Linked DNA regions of Macaca mulatta. The main gene of each other region encodes a partner of the protein of the gene in region 3 in a complex. Links are inferred from orthologs where the notes say so. Each region holds a gene or a part of one and is shown on either strand. Other genes may lie near its edges. The genes, in order: OBSL1, CCDC8 and CUL7.

Region 1 (6,686 bases), on a different chromosome or scaffold from region 3:
GCCCTGACTGGCAGGGCCTGGTACCCCTCCTCTTCAGCAGAAGGGATGTGGCCGCCAGTCATGAGCCAATGATAGGCTGCACTCTGCTCCATGCCCTCCAGGATGTGGGGACTCTCCTGAGTTTGGGGAGAGCTTCTGTAGGCTCCCCATTTTTAAATTTCATCATGAAAGGACTTTAAAAAACAGAAGACATTGCCAACTTCTCTCTGAAGTGGTTTTACCAATTAACATGCCCATCAGCAGTGTGTAAGAGGCCCTGTCTCTCTCCACTTCACCAGCACTAAGAATTGGTATTAGACTTCAATGCTTACTCACCAGACGGTGTTAAACAGTATCCTGAGTGGTGTCTACATGGATGGTTGTTATGTTACTGTTTTTTTTTTTTTCTTTTTTTTTGAGAGAGAGTCTTACTCTGTCACCCAGGCTGGAGTGCAGTGGCATGATCACGGCTTACTGCAGCCTCTACCTCCTGGGCTCAAGCAATCCTCCCACCTCAGCCTCCTAAGAGACCACAGGCGTGTGCCACCACACCCAGCTAACTTTTGTGTTTTTTGTAGAGACAGGATCTCACTATGTTGCCCAGGCTGATCTCAAACTCCTGAGCTCAAGCAATCTGCCTGCCTTCACCTTCCAAAGTGCTGGGATTATAGGTGTGAGCTATCACACCCAGCCGTATTACTTTTTTTATTTTTTTATTTTTTTTGAGATGGAGTCTAGCTCTGTGGCCCAGGCTGGAGTGCAGTGGCGCCATCTCGGCTCACTGCAACCTCCGCCTCCCGCTCTGCCTCCCGGGTTCAAGCAATTCTCCTGCCTCAGCCTCGCGAGTAGCTGGTGCCACCATGCCTGGCTCATTTTCTGTATTTTTAGTAGAGACGGGGTTTCACCATGTTAGCCAGGATAGTCTCGATCTCCTGACCTTGTGATCCTCCTGCCTTGGCCTCCCAAAGTGCTGGGATTACAGGTGTGAGCCACCGCGCCCGGCCCATATTACTCTTTATATCTTTGGCATGTCAGGAATATTATATAATAAATTCTTTAAAATAATTCCATTTTTAAAAGACAAGTTTACACCAAAAAAAAAAAAAAAAAAAAGAAGAAGGAGGAGGGAAAGGCGAGTGGGAAGGAAGAAAATGGAGAACAAGGAGGAGGGGGAAGAGGAGGAGGGCTGTAACTCAGAACAGAGGGGAGTCCTTTCAAGAATGTGTAGTTGGCATCCTCACACTGACACACTCATAGACTATACTAATCATCCTGGAGCAGCACCCGCTGATGGACTGGCAAGTGGAACTATACTGTTACATGGCTTCTTTCATTATCTAGTCACAATTGGTCCATTTTGCAGGTACGGAAATTGAGGCTTAGAGAGGTGAAATGACGTTCAACGACTAAGTGGCCAGACTGGAATTTTGCCTGATCCCAAAGCCATCCTTCTCCCCACTGTGCTGCTAACGGACCAAAGTGAGGGAGGCAGGGGTCCTCTCTTAAGAGAAAGGTGGACCAGATGACAAGAAAGCCCACCCGGAGGAGGGCTTATCCATCCAGTCAGTGAAACAAGGGGACGCACATATGTCGAGACAGGAACTCAAGAGAAGATAGACTAGTTTTCCAGAAAAGTTTCCCAACTAATCTTTTGCCTGTATCTCTGATAGCTTCTCAGTCTCAGCTACCTGGGAGTAAAGAAACAGGGTCTGGAGCAGCGAGCAGAGGCAGAGATAGGAGGAAAGGTGGCAGGAAGGGGCCCAAGCCCAGACATCTCCATCTCTAGAGACCCCTGGTCTCCCAGCGCATACCTCCCAAATGCCTCCCACCTGCCATGCACTCTAGGTACAGCCTCTCACTTAATCCTGAGAGGTTGGCGTTATCACGCATTTTACAGATTGGGAGACAAGAGGCATAAGGAGGTTTAATAACTGGCCTATTGTTGCAAAGCCACTGAGTGGTAGGGCTGGGATTCAAACCCAGGTCCACCTGGCCCGCAAACCCATGCTGTGCCTTGCTGCTTCTCAAAGTCACCCTGCCAGTTCCCCCACCTCGTTACCTGTGGCTGGGAAAAGGATGGCCTGGGAGACATCCTCCTCCTCCGTGGGCTCAGAGCCCCTGCGTGTGAAGCCCCCCAGGGCATGTCTTCGGAGCAGCCGCCTGACTCCAGGGTCCCCACCTTCCCTGGTCACCACGGGGGACCCCAAGGCATCCAGGAACAGGGCCCTCACCTTGGCCAGAACAAGCTCCCGGGCCAGCTCCGGCCCTTGGCAGCTGTGACCACCCTGTGGGGCCAGCAGCAAGAAGAGCAGTAGGGGCAGCACCATAGCTCACCTGGCCCTGCTAGCGGGGAACCCACACCCTCCCCCGTGCCCTTTCTGCCAGGGTCTGCCCAGGGCAGCTCCACTCTCCCCTCCCCATCCCACACCCACCCTCTTCTACCCTTCTCACCCAGTCTTCTCCAGTCCTTTCCACGCCCCACAGTCCGAGTTGCCCCTGCCCGTGGCATTGAAACCTCCTATCTCTGACGCAGATGTCTGTGGCCATGAGCCTTATCTCCCACTCCCGCCAGCGATGTTGGGGAGGGACTGGGGAGGATTTCGCCCCAAGCGACCTGACTCATACAAGCAAACATTACAACCCCTTCTCCTACACACACACACACACACACACACATACACTCTCACACACACACACACGCACTCTCTCACACACACACACACATCCAGAGGTTTACATCAGGTGGGACAGGAGCCTGGGAGCTGCAGCCGGCCAGCCCCGGAAAGTGTCATTTGTCAGGGAGACACAGTGCACCACCCCTCAGACCTTCTGGGGCCCCTTTCAATAAGCAGCTGCTGGGCCGGCCAGCCCTTGGGGGAAGGGCTGGAGCCGGGGCTAGAACCGGGGCTAGGGCCGGGGGCAGGTGGTCCTGCCTGCTCTATACTTAGCCCAGTGGAGCCAGTCTGGGCTCTTGTCCTCCAGCTGTGTCATCAGAGAATATTTTTGGGATTGGCAGCTGCAGGCGCCTCTGCCACTCAGGCCCAAGCCTGGCGGGAGGCTAGGGACCTGGCGGCTGGAGGTGGGAGGGAGGAGGGGGAAGAGGCCCAAGCTGTGGGAGGGGGCTGGGAAGAGAGGCTCCCAAGAGCAGGAAGCCAGGCAGCGGGCAGGAGAGGCTGCGGGGCCCCTCGCTGGAGAGGCAAACAGGAAGGACTGCCCCCTGAGCGCCAGGCTTCGGCCCGGGAATCGCCGCCGCCGCCGCCGCAGAGCTGCAGCTTGGGGCCGAGGGTAAGGAGGCGAGCCGGGAGCAGGAGGCCCGGGAGAGCTTCGCGGGTACCCGCGCCTGGTCCGCAGCCGCGCCCCGGCCCCGCCGCCCCTGGCCTCGGCTCGCCCTCGGCCCACCCTCCCCGTTGGCCGCTGCAGGCGGTCTGAGACAGCTGCGATGAAGGCGAGCTCAGGGGACCAGGGGAGCCCCCCGTGCTTCCTGCGCTTCCCGCGGCCGGTGCGGGTGGTAAGTGGCGCCGAGGCGGAACTCAAGTGCGTGGTCCTGGGGGAGCCGCCACCGGTAGTGGTGTGGGAGAAGGGCGGGCAGCAGCTGGCGGCCTCGGAACGCCTGAGTTTCCTGGCGGACGGCGCGGAGCACGGCCTGCTGCTGAGCACCGCACTGCCTACCGACGCCGGGGTCTACGTGTGCCGCGCCCGCAACGCGGCGGGCGAGGCCTACGCGGCGGCCGCTGTCACCGTGCTGGAGCCACCGGCCTCCGAGCCCGAGCCGCAGCCCGCCGAGCGCCCGCTGCCACCGCCGGGGTCCGGGGAGGGCGCCCCGGTCTTCCTCACGGGGCCCCGATCCCAGTGGGTGCTAAGGGGGGTGGAGGTGGTGCTGACGTGCCGGGCGGGGGGCCTCCCTGAGCCCACGCTGTACTGGGAGAAGGACGGGATGGCCCTGGACGAAGTGTGGGACAGCAGCCACTTCGCGCTCGAGCCCGGCCGCGCCGAGGAGGGCCCCGGCGCGAGCCTGGCGCTGCGCATCCTGGCAGCTCGGCTGCCGGACTCCGGCGTCTACGTGTGCCACGCCCGCAACGCGCACGGCCACGCGCAGGCGGGGGCGCTGCTCCAGGTGCACCAGCCCCCTGAGAGCCCGCCCTCGGACCCCGACGAGGCCCCCGCGCCCGTGGTGGAGCCGCTCAAGTGCGCTCCTAAGACTTTCTGGGTAAATGAGGGCAAGCACGCCAAGTTCCGCTGCTACGTGATGGGCAAGCCCGAGCCCGAGATCGAATGGCACTGGGAGGGCCGCCCGCTGCTCCCGGACCGCCGCCGCCTCATGTACCGCGACCGCGACGGCGGCTTCGTGCTCAAGGTGCTCTACTGCCAGGCCAAGGACCGTGGGCTCTACGTCTGCGCCGCGCGCAACTCGGCAGGCCAGACGCTCAGCGCGGTGCAGCTGCACGTGAAAGGTACGGCGGCGCCCGGGGCCTGGGGAGGGGCCTCTCGTGTCCTCCGAGGCCCTCCGAACACCAGCCCTCCTCGGTGCGCAGCACTGCCCCGAAGACTGGAGGAGAGGAGGTCCGCGGCAATATTAAAATATCAAACCCGCCCGCCTCCCGCTCTCCAGGGATTCGGATTTACTAGGTCTCCCGGGTACTCAGGAACTTCTTAGCAAACTCCCCAAAAGATTCCGAGGCAGATGGTGGAACACCACTAAGGAGTGATTGATGTACAAACCTGGAGGGCGGTAGAACTCTTCTCCCCTAGTGGTTTTCAACGTCTTTGTTATTTTACTTCTCCTTCCCCAACTGAATTCACAACCAGAGTCCCAATATATGAGACAGATAAAGGAGTATTTTGTGGGCCTAAATTGCTAAGTCTGCTTGTATAACAGGTACTTCTAAAGCATCAGTGAGAATAAGGAGGCTATTTTATTGAATACAGGCATTTGAAGTGAAGACTGCATTCATGAGTCCAGGCTCTGAACCCTGTGGGAACAGCCTGGGTGCGTCTGTCACCTTGAGAAACAAGTGATTCAGTAGAAAGCTAGACAAGGGAGGACAAATGTCCTGTGTGTTTTTACTGTTCTTTGATTAAACTACTCCCCACGTTTGCAAGAAGAGGAAGGTGAAGGAGAGAAGGTTTATATTTCAATGTTGAATCACCAACAATATCCAATAAACGCTTACATTCTCATAAACAGAAAATTCAAAGGGAAAAAAAAAAGCACACCCCAAACTCACCATTAGGTAACGCTCCCCATAATAGGATTTCATCACAATGCAAAGGATTATACCTTCACTAGTTATTGTCCAGATTTTTCTCTTGGAGGAAAAAAAAGTTGGTAAATTCTCCTGAGTCCTGCCTGGCACGCAGTCAAGGATGTGGCCCCTGGGCTGCGGTGGTGGCCTCGCTGGTACAGTTCAATGCACACAGATTTGTCAGGCTGGTGCTGATCTGGACCTCCATCAGGAAAGAAAAGCCCCGAGGGAAGGCTGGAGGAGCTTCCCAGAGTTGGATACACACACACTGAAACTTGCTTCTCCAGCAGCCTGAGTTAATTCTCTAGTTTCTAACATCCTGTTTTCTTTTCTTTCTTTCTTTCTTTTTTTTTTTGAAATACACTTTTGAAAGGGGTTAAAATAGCCAGGCGAGGTGGCTCACTCCTGTAATCTCACCACTTTGGGAGGCTGAGGCAGGAGGATCACCTGAGGTCAGGAGTTCGAGAACAACCTGGCCAACATGGCGAAACCCTTTTTCTACTAAAAATACAAAATAATTAGCTGGGCGTGGTGGCACGTGCCTGTAATCCCAGCTACTTGAGAGGCTGAGGCACCAGAATTGCTTGAACCAGGGAGGTAGAGGTTGCAGTGAGCCAAGATTGCACCACTACACTCCAGCCAGGGCAAGAGAGCGAGACTCCATCTCAAAAAAAAAAAAAAAAAAAGAAAAGAAGAAAAAAAGAAAAGCGTTAAAATATTTTAAATTCTACTCAGACCCTTGTGGAATATGTGAAATGCCTGGGGCGGGGGGGCCTAGGGAACGATTTGAAAATCACCAGTCTAGGGCCTAGAGGATCCCAGAGAACAGTTTGGAAATCATCAATCTGATCCAACCCCTTTTGTCCCTTTCCCCATTTTACAAGTAAGGAGACTGAGGCCCAGAAGCGTTGAAATGGACTTGCTCAAGGTGATGTGGCTAGTGTCAGGGCTGGATGAGAACTTAGGTCATCTTAGGAACCACCACTTCCCTTCTGGTAGTTTTCTGTGATTCCACAGTGCCCGCTGGCTCTGCATAAAGAGCACATGGCATGAGCTAATGCGATTTGAGGCGTCCTACACCTAGTCTGGCCCTTCTCCAGAGCCCTCTCTTGTCTCTCCCCTCTCCACAGAGCCCCGCCTCCGGTTCACACGGCCCCTGCAGGATGTGGAGGGCCGTGAGCACGGGATTGCCGTGCTGGAGTGTAAAGTACCCAACTCCCGCATCCCCACGGCCTGGTTCCGTGAGGACCAGCGGCTGCTGCCCTGCCGCAAGTATGAGCAGATCGAAGAGGGCACTGTCCGGCGTCTCATCATCCACAGGCTGAAGGCAGACGATGATGGTGTCTACCTGTGCGAGATGCGGGGCCGGGTGCGCACCGTGGCCAACGTCACAGTCAAAGGTCAGCTGGTTCATGGGGAAGAGGCTGAGGCGGAGGCAGGCAGGTGCTCAGATTCCAGGCTGAT
Region 2 (6,517 bases), on a different chromosome or scaffold from region 3:
AAAGGAGGGTGGTGGGATACAATTCTTTACTTTCCAGAGAAAAAAAGTAAGAAACTTAGGCCAGGCCTGCAACCAGTTAGGACGACAGACTGGCCCCTGGACCTCCATGAACTCCCTTTTCTCCTGCCCTCAGCAAGGCTCGAGTCTGGTCATTTGCTGTTTTTCACTGCTGGGGGTTGTGGGGACACAAGGCAATACAGAGAGAGGCCCCCAGCTTCCTCCCAACCTCCACAGGGCCTTAGCAACCCAATTTCTTCCCAATCATAGGAAGCAGTTGGCTGGGCGCAGTGGCTCATGCCTGTAATCCCAGCACTTTGGGAAGCCGAAGTGGGCGGATCAGTTGAGGTTAGGAGTTCAAGACAGGCTTGGCCAACATGGTGAAACCCCATCTCTACTAAAAATACAAAAATTAACCAGGTGTGGTGGCACACGCCTGTAGTCCCAGCTACTCGGGAGGCTGAGGGAGGAGAATCACTTGAACCCGGGAGGCGGAGGTTGCAATGAACCGAGATCGCGCCACCATACTCCAGCCTAGTGACAGAGACTCCATCTCAAAAAAAAAGAACCAGCAGCAGCAATTAATGCACAAGCAATTAATGCACAATACACACAGCCTTTTTTTTTTTTTTTTTTTTTTGAGACAGAGTCTCACTCTGTCACTAGGCTGGAGTGCAATGGTGCGATCTCGGCTCACCGCAACCTCCACCTTCCGGGTTCAAGAGATTCTCCTGCCTCAGCCTCCCGAGTAGCTGGGACTACAGGCGTGCACCACCAGGCCAGGCTAATTTTTGTATTTTTAGTAGAGACAGGGTTTCACCATGTTGGCCAGGATGGTCTTGATCTCTTGACCTTGTATCCACCCGCCTCGGCCTCCCTAAGTGCTGGGATTACAGGTGTGAGCCACCACGTCCGGCCAACCACAGCCCCTCTTTTAGGCCTTTTCTTATTGCAATGAGTTTTCAATGTGTCCAATGGCCGAATTGCCCAGATGTTTGGAAGCTTGATGCAAACAGAATTCAGAGCCACACAGGCACCGCTAGCAAATCCACATCTCTGATGCTGAGGGCCCCAGAATCTGTGTTTTGAACGCATTTTTCAGATGCTTTTACTGTACCTTACAACCAAGATCGGGAGAGGTATGCAAACCAAGGGCCCTGTCCCCTCCAAAGCAGCAGAGTCCAGGGGCATGAGGATGGCAAGCGAAGTGACAACATAAACACAGGTGTCTCCATCTTCAAGGATGGGAGTAGAACGGACAGGAAGGGCCGGGTCACCCCCAGAGCATTCGTCAGTTGCCAAGTCCAAAGCTAAGAAACCAGTTCATAAATGTTTTTTTATTTGCATGTTGGCTCAAGTCCTCTTTTTAAGTCCAAGGAGGCAGTCCACGTTAAGTGTGCAGGCAAAAAAGGGACAGGAAAAGCAGGCAATTTCTCCCCTGCCCTCCCGCTCTCCTTTTATCAAGCTGAGCACCTTGAGTTGCATTTGAGGAAATTAAAACTATAGGTGACAGAACCCCCTTGTATCGAATTCTTTCTTTACATTTTTTGGGTTGCTACAAGGAATCACTATATATATGTATATATGTATATATATATATATATTTTATCAGGTGGTACGTGTGGTGGCTCACACCTGTCATCCCAGCACTTTGGGAGGCCGAGGCAGGAGGATCACTTGAGGCCAGAAGTTTGAGGCTGCAGTGATCATGCCACTGCACTCCAGCCTGGGCAACAGAGTGAGACCCTGTCTCTAAAAAATTTTTTAAAAATCAACGCATGAGACAAAACTTTAACAAGAGAATAAAGAGGGTTGTAAGGTGGAGATGTGGGCAGCACTCCAACTCCACTTTCAAGTTCAGAGGCAGAAAGAGCAACTTTCTCTCCCACGCTTGTAGGGAGGGCCCGTGGGCTGTCTCTAGCCCTCACCTCACAGCTGGTCTTCTCGCTCTCCCTGTTCAGCTTCTGCTCTGGCCTCGGCCCTCAGCACCCTGAGGCTCCTGGCCTCGCCTGCCCTGGGGACTCTCTTGGGCAGGGTTGGCAACCGGGGAGTGTGCCAGAAGGCTCTCCGGGGCTTGCGAAACCACGAAAAGCGTCCAGGGGTCTGGAACCTCACTGTCTTGACCTGTTTCCGGGCCCTGGCTCCTGAAGCTGTTCCTGTGGCCCCTTGGGTAGCTGAGGCTTCAGCTTCCTGGATACCTGGGGCCCCTGCCGTCTGATTATGTGCAGCCTCTGCCCTTTGGCCAGCCCGGGCCTGTGCCCTCTGATTACCTGCACCCTGGACAGCTGGGGCCCTTTCCCTCTGGTCATGTATGGCCTCTTCCCTTCGAGGATCTGTAGCCTCTGACCCCTGGTCAGCTAGAGCCTCTTCCCTCAGGTTATCTGCACCCTGTGGCCTATGGTCAGCTGGGGCCTCTGCCCTCTGATTATCTGCAGCCTCTTCCCCATGGTTATCTGCAGCCTCTGCCCCCTGGTCAGCTGGGGCCCCTGCCCTCTGATTACCTGCAGCCTCTTCCCTCTGGTCAGCTATGGCCTCTTCCCTCTGATTATCTGCAGCCTCTTCCCTATGGTTATCTGCATCCTCTGCCCCCTGGTCAGCTGGGGCCCCTGCCCTCTGATTACCTGCAGCCTCTTCCTCCTGGTCAGCTATGGCCTCTTCCCTCTGATTATCTGCAGCCTCTTCCCCCTGATCAGCCTCGATGTCTGCCCCCCGACCTGTGGGCGCTGTCTGCTCCTTCCTGCGGCGCCTAAACGAGGCCCAGTTGATCTTGGGCCTCCATCGCCTAGGGGAGGCCTGCGGGGCACAGACATCTCCCACATTTTCCACAGGATCCCCGGGATCCCCCGGGCTGGTGCCGGAGGATACCCCTGCGCTCTCCACTGGGATGGAGGCCAGCCGGGCCTCGCCCACCCCGGGGCCCGCCCTCGGCGCCCAACCCTTCACCCTCCGCTTCAGCTTCCCCCAGGACACCTGGCTGACATACTCCCGCCACCTGTCCGCCTTGGACAGCTGAGGCCCCAGGTTGTCCTCAAACATGGGCACTGGCAGGTTGACGCGGCGGCGGGCAGGCGGCGCGGGGGGCTGCTTCTCCTGTCGCCGGAGAAATGCCTCCACCAGTTCCTCATCATCCTCGCTCTCCACGTCGCTTCCCAGGAACTTGCTGCCCAGGTAGCTGACGGGCATTTTGCGCACCTTCTTGCCCCGCCGCGGGCCCTGGCGGCTCTTGTCTCTGGAGGTCTCGAAGTCGCTGAACTCGCTGTCGCTGGCGTTGCTGCTGTCATACGTGCCCACGACCAGCCGGGGCGTAGGAGTCACCATCTGCTGCACTCTCCTCCTCACTCGGGGCTCCTTGGGCTTTTTGGGGGGCTGGGGCGGGTGCGGGGTGCTCTTCTCGATGATGCGGGCCACGTCCTCCAGGGTGCGGCCCTGTTCTTCCAGGAACTGGGTCAGCCGCTCCCGAAATTCTGCTTCCTTGGTGGCAGGCTTAGAGATGACTCTCCAGACGCCCCCGGCCAGCCTGACCTCCCGGGGGATGAGCAAATAGTCGACGTCCTCCCCGATCTGCAGCATCCCCACCGTGGAGTCCTCCTCCTTGCGGAACACCTTGCCGATCTTCTTAAATGTTCCCACGGGTTTTAGGGCTTCCACGAGGACGTCCAAATCCACATCTTTGCAGACATCGGGGACGCTCCAAAGAATGAGGCAGTCGGGGGACGGGAGGAAGCCCCAGGGGAACCAGCCCCCCACGTGGCTTTTCTCGAGAGTCTTTAAGATCTCCAGGGTGATATCTGGGGTGAGGGAGCAAAGAGCCCCAACAAACTACTGTAGCCCTTAGTCTTGAGGGAGGGACTGGATGGGGGGAGTCCCAGCAACGCTGACCGCAGAGTCTCACCTCCCCAGCCAGGGACGAGTCAACGCCTCCAATCTCTTCTCCTGCAACAAGTCCAGTCTTGACCAAGTCCGGCTCCTCCACCAAGGACTTGGGAGAATCAATTTCCAGGATGCCTACGTGAGCCGGAGGCGAGGTCAGTCCCAAGGTTCAAGGCCCACTCCAAGCTGGAAACGTGGTGTCCCAGCTCCAAGTTGGGGCGCGCGGGCTGCCAGCGATTCTTCCTGCCCCAGGCCCCTGGGACGCGGTTGGAACTTGGGAGAGGACTTCGCAGACAAAGACGGTCCAGTCGAGGCTATTCAATATGGCGGAGGCGCTGAGAGGCCTCAGCCCGGCCCCCCAGTAGGGTCCCCCGCCCCCAGGCAGGCCACCACCCAGCTCCAGGCTGACCTTGACGCGCCGCAGCCTGCCAGCCCGCGCGCTTAGGGCTCTGCACGGTGGAGCGCACCAGCAGGAAGTTCCTCCTTGCCCTCCGCCAGAATGAGGCCCACCTTCCCCCGTCTCATCTTACACTCCCAGACTCTGGAAGACTGACAGGGGGGCTGTCCACTCCCTTCGGGGCAGCCTCCTTCCCCTCCCCCACAGGGGTGTGGCCGCGCCTGGGGCCTAGCTGGGCCCATTGCTTCCCAGCGAAGCGGCGGTGGCCCACGTCAGCACCTTTGCTGAAAGGCAGCGGTTCCCAAACCTGCCATCCGAAATGTACAAGTTTCCAGCCAAGTCCTGGAGGTGGGTGTGCCAGTGGATTCTACCTTTTGAGAGCCACTGGCACCATAGATTAGCATTTTAAATTCACGCGACTATCCGTACCCGTACACCCAGACGCGTGGGTAGAGAAATGGGTACCGGGATCTTATTGCAACAGTCCCCCTGTGACGCTTGGCAGGAGGTCAGGGCTCTACATATTTTTGAGTGGATGAATAAACCTGAATGTTCATAGCCAGGCGCGGTGGCTCATGCCTGTAATCCCAGCACTTTGGGAGGCCTAGGCGGGTGGAACACTTGGAGGCCAGGAGTTCGAGACCAGCCTGGCCAACATGGTGAAACCCTCGTCTCTACAAAAAATACAAAAATTAGCCGGGTGTGGTGGTGTGCGTGTGTAGTCCCAGCTACACGGGAGGCTGAGGCAGGAGAATGGCATGAACCCGGGAGGTGGAGGTTGCAGAGATGGCGCCACTGCACTCCAGCCTGGGCAACAGAGGGAGACTCTGTCTCAAAAAAACAAAAACAAAACAAACAAACAAACAAAAAAAGCCAAAAAACAAAACCAAAAAAACCCCACAAATAAACAACAACAAAAAAGCCTAAAAGTTCATGAGTAGATACTGCCTCTATTTTATGGTAGTATCTTACAGTGAAATATTTTGCAACTTTGAAAAAAGAATGAGATGGCTAAGGATAGGCACGGTTTATGAGGCGCTTCCTGTGTAGTAGGCACCATTCCCAGTGCTTTCTATGAATGAACTCAGGAAATCCTTGCTATAGCAGGAGACTGGTAGCATGAGTACAACTCCCATTAGACAGCTGAAGAAACTGATGCCCAAGGACATAAAACCACTCTTTCAAGGTCACAGCCAGGGGGAGTGGTTGAGTTTGGATTTGAATCCAGAATAGTCTGCCTTTTGTGCCCACCAAAGAGTCAAGATGGCTGGGCATGGTGGCTCACGCCTGTAATCCCAGCACTTTGGGAGGCCAAGGCAGGCGGATTCCGAGGTCAGGAGATCAAGACCATCCTGGCTACCGTGGTGAAACCCCGTCTCTACTAAAAATACAAAAAAATTAGCCAGGTGTGGTGGTATGTGCCTGTAGTCCCAGCTACTCTGGAAGCTGAGGCAGGAGAATCTCTTGAACCCGGGAGGCCGAGGTTGCAGTGAGCCGAGATCGCACTACTGCACTCCAGCCTGGGCAACAGAGCGAGACTCCATGTAAAAAACAAACAAACAAACAAAAAAAAAACACACACACACACACACAGTCAAGATGTGGACCAATGCTAGTAAGCTCGGTTCTTGAGACGCGAGTCTACCGAAGCTCCCGGCAGTAGAGAGGCGAGTCTGCTGAAGCTCCCGTCGGAATAAAGCCAAATCCTTCCTTAACCCGGTGTTTGAGGGGTTTTGTCGGAAGCTCCTCCTGCTACAGTACTTGCGACTAGGATTGGTCCACATCTTTGGAACCAGGCATCAAGAGATATGCTGAATAGGCCTCCTTGTTAGGAATTCTGAGAGGTAGGTACATGGTAATAAGGCCAGTGCCATCAATCATCTTTTTACAGATGGGGAAACTGAGGCCGGTCTGAAGTTGCACAGCTCCGAGTGGTGGATCTAATATTAGAACCAGATCTTGGGCACTAGCATAAACAGTAGCAGACGCTAAAGACACAGCTAATCTCATTCTCCTAAATGCGTTGAACCATTTAACCCCTTAACAGCCATAATACTTGCAGGCTGTCTTGCCTGGATGTGTACAAATCCCCCTGACTGGGCTCCCTGCCTCCCCATCACTGCTTGCAATCCAGGCCCCACCCAGAAGCTGGGGGCATCTTTTAAAAACTTAGGTCCCATCTGTCTCTACTCTTTTGAAAATTCTCCATCTCAGGCTGGGCGCCATGGCTCACGCCTTTAATCCCAGCAGTTT
Region 3 (5,920 bases):
TCCAGTCGTGGCTTCTGTTTCTGCCCTCTGTGGAGATCAAGAAAGTGGCAGAGGCAAGGAGTGGGCAGCCCCTCCACTCCAGTCGCTATCCAAGGGGGTGCCCTGAGGCCTTTCCTGACATGCTGCCACCCAAAGTGATGTTCATGGATGGAGGTGACACAAACCTGGAAGATGAACAGGCTGAGCCAACAGGAGGGGAAGGATGGGGATGGACAGAAGTCTATGGTGTACACGTGGGGCCCAGGAAAATGCTCCTGACTAGAAGCTCCCCACCTGAATCCCCACTACTCACTGGGCCGAGGAGTGGCCGCCACAGGAGGGGGTGCCTCGCAGGGCTCGACATGCACCAGCAGGTGAGTGAGACGGCGCACCCGCGAGAAGAAAGCTGGGCCGCGGCTCTGGGGGTTGAAGACAGCTTCCTGACACTCCAGGTACTGCTCCAGCAGCCAACCCAGGGGGCTAACGCCATCCTCATCTAGAGGGTGAGAAAAACAAACCAAGGCACAGCCATGTCTGCAGGGAAGTGGGAGAGGTTGGGCTGAACAGGAGTGTAGAGATAGAGCAACTGGACGAAATGATACAAGGGAGGGGCCAGGTAGGGTGGTTTATGCCTATAATCCCAGCACTTTGGGAGGTTGAAATGAGAGGAGTTTGAGCCCGGCCTGGTCATCTTTAAAAATAATAAATAAACAAGCTGGGCACAGTGGCTTACACCTGTAATCCCAGTACTTTGGGAGGCCGACGTGGGCAGATCATAAGGTCAGGAGATTGAGACCATCCTGGCTAACACGGTGAAACCCCGTCTCTACTAAAAATACAAAAATAAGCCAGACGTGGTGGCGGGTGCCTGTAATCCCAGCTACTTGGGAGGCTGAGGCCAGAGAATGGCATGAACCTGGGAGGAGGAGTTTGCAGTGAGCCGAGATCACACCACTGCACTCCAGCCTGGGCGATAGAGTGAGACTCCATCTCAAAAAAATAATAATAATAAATAAAAATAATAAACATTAAAAAAAATAGAAAAGGCCAGGCGCGGTGGCACATGCCTATAATCCCAGCACTTTGGGAGGCTGAGGTGGGCGGATCACCTGAGGTCAGGAGTTTCCGAGATCAGCCTCACAACATGGAGAAACTCCATCTCTACTAAAAAATATAAAATCAGCTAGGTGTGGGTCGGGCGCGGTGGCTCACGCCTGTAATCCTAGCACTTTGTGAGACTGAGGCAGGTGGATCACCTGAGGTTGGGGTTCAAGACCAGCCTGACCAACATGGAGAAACCCCATCTCTACTAAAAATCCAAAATTAGCCGGGCATGGTGGCCCATGCCTGTAATCCCAGCTATTTGGGAGGCTGATGCAGGAGAACTGCTTAACCCTGGAGGCGGAGGTTGCAGTGAGCTGAGATTGCGCCATTGCACTCCAGCCTAGGCAATAAGAGCGAAACACTGTCTCAAAAAAATAAAATAAAATAAAATAAAATAAGCCAGGCATGGTGGCACATGCCTGTAATCCCAGCTACTCAGGAGGCTGAGGCAAGAGAATTGCTTGAACCCGGGAGGCAGAGGTTGCGGTGAGCTGAGATCGCGCCATTGCACTGTAGCCTGGGTAACAAGAGCGAAACTCTGTCTCAAAAAAAAAAAGATATGAAAAGAATGATAAGGGAGTGGGTAACAAGGTACCTTCTGCACTTATGGTGTCAGCTGATACTTGAGAGACATAGGAAAGGGGGCAGCCCCTGGGCTATGAGAAGACGGCACTGGGATTACAAATGCAGGTGCCAAAAGGGCCAGAACATAATCCAGGTGGTTCTAGGGTAGAGCAAGAAGGAGCTAATTAGTGGAGCCAAGCCCTGAGATAGTAATGGGTCCAGGTGTTAGGATGGTTACCAGGGGAGGTGATGTTCTGCACCACGGGGCTGACCAGGGCCTCCCAGCAGGTCTTGCCCAGAGCTTGGGCAGCCTCGTCGTCAGGGAGGAAGCGGTCAGCAAAATTCTGCTCCTGGCGCAGGGCCCCGTTCAGTCTGGGGGTGAGAATGGAGGAGGAAGGTGTCAGAGGCTTGAGGTATGTGTTATCTCAGTGTCCACCCTGCCTAAGACTGCCAGTTAACCTCCAGCACCCAAACTGAAGGCCCCCCTGGTACTTCAAAACTGCCCTGTGCTAACTAGTATATCCTATTCCCAGCCCACTGGAGAAATTTCTTCTCTTTATCCTTTCTTCCCCTCCCACAGCTCAGAACACTCCAGCCCCCTCCCCACGCATATTAAACCTCCATCTTATGGCTTAAATGGACCCCTGCCTGCCAGCTATTTGCAATAGCCTTACCTTTCCCACAGACACAGGCATACACGCACACTCTCACACACCTAGAACTCAGGTGCAGGAGGCTCCTGCGGTCCTCTGCCATGTCCTGGCTCCAGGCCTGCGCCCGAACCATGTAGAAGAGGCGTGTGTGACGACAGAGTTGCTCCCGGAACACTGGCCAGAACGTGGGCTTGGGGCCTAGGATCTCTAACCCCCGAATGCGCGTATCAATGCCACCCTGAAACACACACAGGACTATCTTCACTCGCCCCACATGCTCCTTGGGATGGGCTGGGGTCAGCTATGCCCTCGAGCCTCACACCTGGAGCTGCTTGAGACCCAGGCTGGTCTTCTGGCTCAAGATCTGCCCGTTTATGGGATTCAGAGCCCCCTACCCAGGGCCACACCCCACATCCCTAGCCCCACCTGCTGGCAGCGCTTTATGCGGATCTGGATGATGGGCCAGAAGCGGGTCAGGTTCTCCAGGAGGATCACCCGGCTGGCAGAGGGCATCACATTCACCTGGTAGGGGGGCAGAGAAGGCTGTCACTTCTACACGTGCAGATGGGAGTGCTGAGCCAAGTTGGCTCTAGGCTCCAGTCCCCTCACTTGTTTCCTTCCCTTCCCCAGCCCTGGGATGTGTAGGGTCCTGAGAAAGCTATCCTCATTGTCCACCCTCACTGTTTGGGGCCTGGTGGCACAAGCACAGGGATAAAGGACACTACTTTCTGTGGGGCTTAAGACAGGTGGGAGTAGAAAAAAGTAGCATAGGGCCAGATCGAAGCAGGAGGGCAGATCCTGTGAGGGGTGGGGTAATGGCTAATGGCCCTGGGGCCCTACCGAGTTGAGTTCCGTGTGAAGAGAGCTAGCGCTATCACCCCCACACACCACCACTCGGGCCGGCATGTAGCTTGAGTCCTCGCTAGCCACAAGCAGAGTCAGTTGCCTGGGAGTGGGGAGGAAAAACCATTTGGAACTTGCAGACAGGGCCCATGGCCAAGTCCAGGGGGGTGGTGCATCCCCCAAAACAAACACAGGGGCGTCACAGGAAAGCGTAGGTGTGTGGCAAAGCACATGCGTGGGAGCGTTACCTGATGAGGACGCCCTGGTGCATGTGCAGGGTGATGTAGTGGGAGCCGGCGCTGCCGTTGGACTCCCAGTAGGTCTTGGGGTTGTGGTCCGTCAGCTTGCTGGCCCGGTGTGGGTTGGAGGACACCTCCACCTTCTCCCAGCACTTGTCCTCCTTCACTTCCACACTGGAGCCTGGGGGTAAGTGGGAATGGGTGGTGGTCACAGCCAGGTAGGGTGTAAAGAGGAAACAAACATAGGTATGGAGAGGTAGAGCAACAGGGCAACAGGCACGAACCCTGGCATAAGTATCTGAGGAACACATCAAAGAAAGGGATGTTGATGGACCGGTGGGTTCGTCTGTGGTCTTCAATCTGGCCCAGCACCATCTGCGGCCAGAACATCAGAGAGAAGGGGCACGGGGGCAGGAGGAACACGGAGAGACACATGGAAACATGGATGAAGGAGAGACCAAGCAGCAGTGGGACTTCCTCTACAGCACCAGCAGAGCAGGCCCAGACAGGGAAGAGGGGCAGGGAAACAAATGTCCCAGGGTCACTAGAGTCACCTGTTGTTCCCAGCCATGGGAACACAGCCCTTACCCGCCACTGCTTGGGTTTCATATTCTGATGCTGCTCTGAGCCCACAAGCTCCCCTTCCTCCTGACCTGGATGCAGCCTCCCAGGATGTTGGTGATGAGTTTGCGGTAGAGGTGGGCATGCTTCTCACACTTGAACACCATGTCCCGCAGCTCCTGAGCCAGCTCCAGCTTTCCCAGGTGCTTTTCCAGGGCCTTGGAGATGGCGTCTCTTGCTCCCAGCTGATTCAGCACCACGGCATAGTCCCTGCTCACTGAGGTCAGGCGGTGCAGGAAGAAAATCAGTTCCTGGAGCACCTGGGTGGGGACATAAAGGAGGAGATGAATGAAGACAGGGCGAGGGCTGCAAGGGCATCTGCAGTAGCAGGTACCCACTGTGTACTGGGTGCTGGGGGTGCTACAGTGAGCAAGGCAGTGAGGAAATGAAAAGACAGGGATGGGGAGACACAAGAGCCAGGTGGTTAGAGAACTGAAGACAAACCAAAATGGAAAAGGGCACAAGATGCCCTGCTACTCTAGGGTTCTAGGCTGCTGATTATATTGACAAAAACTGCAGAGAGCATCCCTGGGTTCTTTCATCCAGGCCCCACTGTCCCAAAAAACAGTTGTAGGGCTGTATTTTGAGATGTTCAGGCACAGACACCTGGATGGCTGGGAAGGGACTGACAGGGACTGGGTTTGTGCGTATACCCAATGAGCCTGCCTTAGAAAGTAAATTCTACATAACAGCCAAAAATACAGCCACACTGCAAACACCTACTGTCACCATGACCCTAGTTCTCTGAGCCCTTCTGAAGCCTTCTGTGCCCAGGACTTCTCTGTAGCTTTTGCAGGGGACTCTGGTATGTGATGGGCCCTCTGCATCCTTCATCCCCCTTTCTCCCACAGGACCAGCCAAAAATGGAGCTACTGAAGCTCTTAATGTTCTATGTAATAATATCTCCATATCCTTTTGTGTAAAAAAGAGAGTGGCAAGATCACACATTTGGGTTTGCTTATATTTGCATAAGGGAACATGGGAATGATACATAAATTAATACAAGTAATTACCAGTAAGGGGTGTGTGGGGGACACTGGGAGAACAGGGATTTGGGTGAGAGCAAGAATTCTCAGTGTATACCTTGTTAGAGCGTTTTGATTTGTGAACCATGTGAATGTATTACCTATTTAAAAAAAATAAAATTCAATTTTAAAAGCAAAACTCAAAACTAAGAGCCCAAAGGCTCTATCACACCCTCCAGAGCCTTGCCCAGTGGGTGTGCCTTGCCAGTGGCTGCCTTTATCCTCTCCCCCAGCCTCTCCCCAGAGCAAGGCAGGGGTACCTCTCGATCAGTGTTTGGGGACCGCAGGCAGGCCATGCAGGCATCCACGGCCTCGTGCCAGGGGAGCAGCAGTGCCTCAGGGAAGTCTACCAGCTGCTTCAGGATTCTGGGGGCAGAGAAATGTGCAGCCAGCCTCATAGACCCCCTTTGCCCTCAGAGATCCCACCTGTCACCACGGTCTTACCTCAGCACAGTCAGGTGCAGGGCCCTGTTAGTCTCTGGAGTGTCCAGGCTCTGCATCAGTGCCAGGAAGGGCTGGGGCTGCCGCTGCAGCTGCAGCAGGAGTGGCTTGACCTTGTTCTCCTGCGTCCCCTCCGAGCTGAGGGCTTGCTCTAGATCCAGGAGGATTTTCCCAGCTGGACCATAATCCTCCACGAGATGCTGCAGGGGAGTGTTGGGACTCTGAGATGGGGGTTCTTTTGCTACAGGAAGAGGAGAGTCACAGGAATTGGCCATTGTTAGTAATGTGAAGGCTCAGAAATAGATTCATAACTCTCAATCTTTTTCTCTAATTTCTCCTAAAAAATGTTTTAAATTTTTTTTTTTTTTTTTTTGAGACAGAGTCTGGCTCTGTCGCCCAGGCTGGAGTGCAGTGACCGGATCTCAGCTCACTGCAAGCTCCGCCTCCCGGG

Evidence for each region.
Region 1: CUL7 (region 3) and OBSL1 share a complex: the UniProt entries of both Homo sapiens proteins name them as parts of the 3M complex. The link is inferred for Macaca mulatta from reciprocal best matches to the Homo sapiens genes CUL7 and OBSL1.
Region 2: CUL7 (region 3) and CCDC8 share a complex: the UniProt entries of both Homo sapiens proteins name them as parts of the 3M complex. The link is inferred for Macaca mulatta from reciprocal best matches to the Homo sapiens genes CUL7 and CCDC8.

What each region holds. Positions count from the first base shown.
Region 1 is NC_133417.1:124,810,197-124,816,882, reverse strand, and holds the start of OBSL1 (obscurin-like protein 1), read left to right. Parts: upstream 1-3,119; 5' UTR 3,120-3,418; coding exon 3,419-4,430; intron 4,431-6,352; coding exon 6,353-6,622; intron 6,623-6,686. Other genes in the region: INHA (inhibin alpha chain precursor), read right to left, coding at 2,039-2,306. UniProt on the Homo sapiens protein: Core component of the 3M complex, a complex required to regulate microtubule dynamics and genome integrity. It is unclear how the 3M complex regulates microtubules, it could act by controlling the level of a microtubule stabilizer.
Region 2 is NC_133424.1:58,898,957-58,905,473, forward strand, and holds the start of CCDC8 (coiled-coil domain-containing protein 8), read right to left. Parts: upstream 3,704-6,517; 5' UTR 3,568-3,703; coding exon 1,927-3,567; 3' UTR 1,743-1,926; exon of another isoform or gene 1,316-1,742; intron 254-1,315; exon of another isoform or gene 8-253; intron 1-7. UniProt on the Homo sapiens protein: Core component of the 3M complex, a complex required to regulate microtubule dynamics and genome integrity. It is unclear how the 3M complex regulates microtubules, it could act by controlling the level of a microtubule stabilizer.
Region 3 is NC_133409.1:139,081,239-139,087,158, reverse strand, and holds part of CUL7 (cullin-7), read right to left. Parts: intron 5,711-5,920; coding exon 5,473-5,710; intron 5,395-5,472; coding exon 5,289-5,394; intron 4,264-5,288; coding exon 4,036-4,263; intron 3,758-4,035; coding exon 3,667-3,757; intron 3,564-3,666; coding exon 3,392-3,563; intron 3,247-3,391; coding exon 3,141-3,246; intron 2,823-3,140; coding exon 2,727-2,822; intron 2,539-2,726; coding exon 2,363-2,538; intron 2,020-2,362; coding exon 1,886-2,019; intron 476-1,885; coding exon 293-475; intron 28-292; coding exon 1-27. UniProt on the Homo sapiens protein: Core component of the 3M and Cul7-RING(FBXW8) complexes, which mediate the ubiquitination and subsequent proteasomal degradation of target proteins. Core component of the 3M complex, a complex required to regulate microtubule dynamics and genome integrity.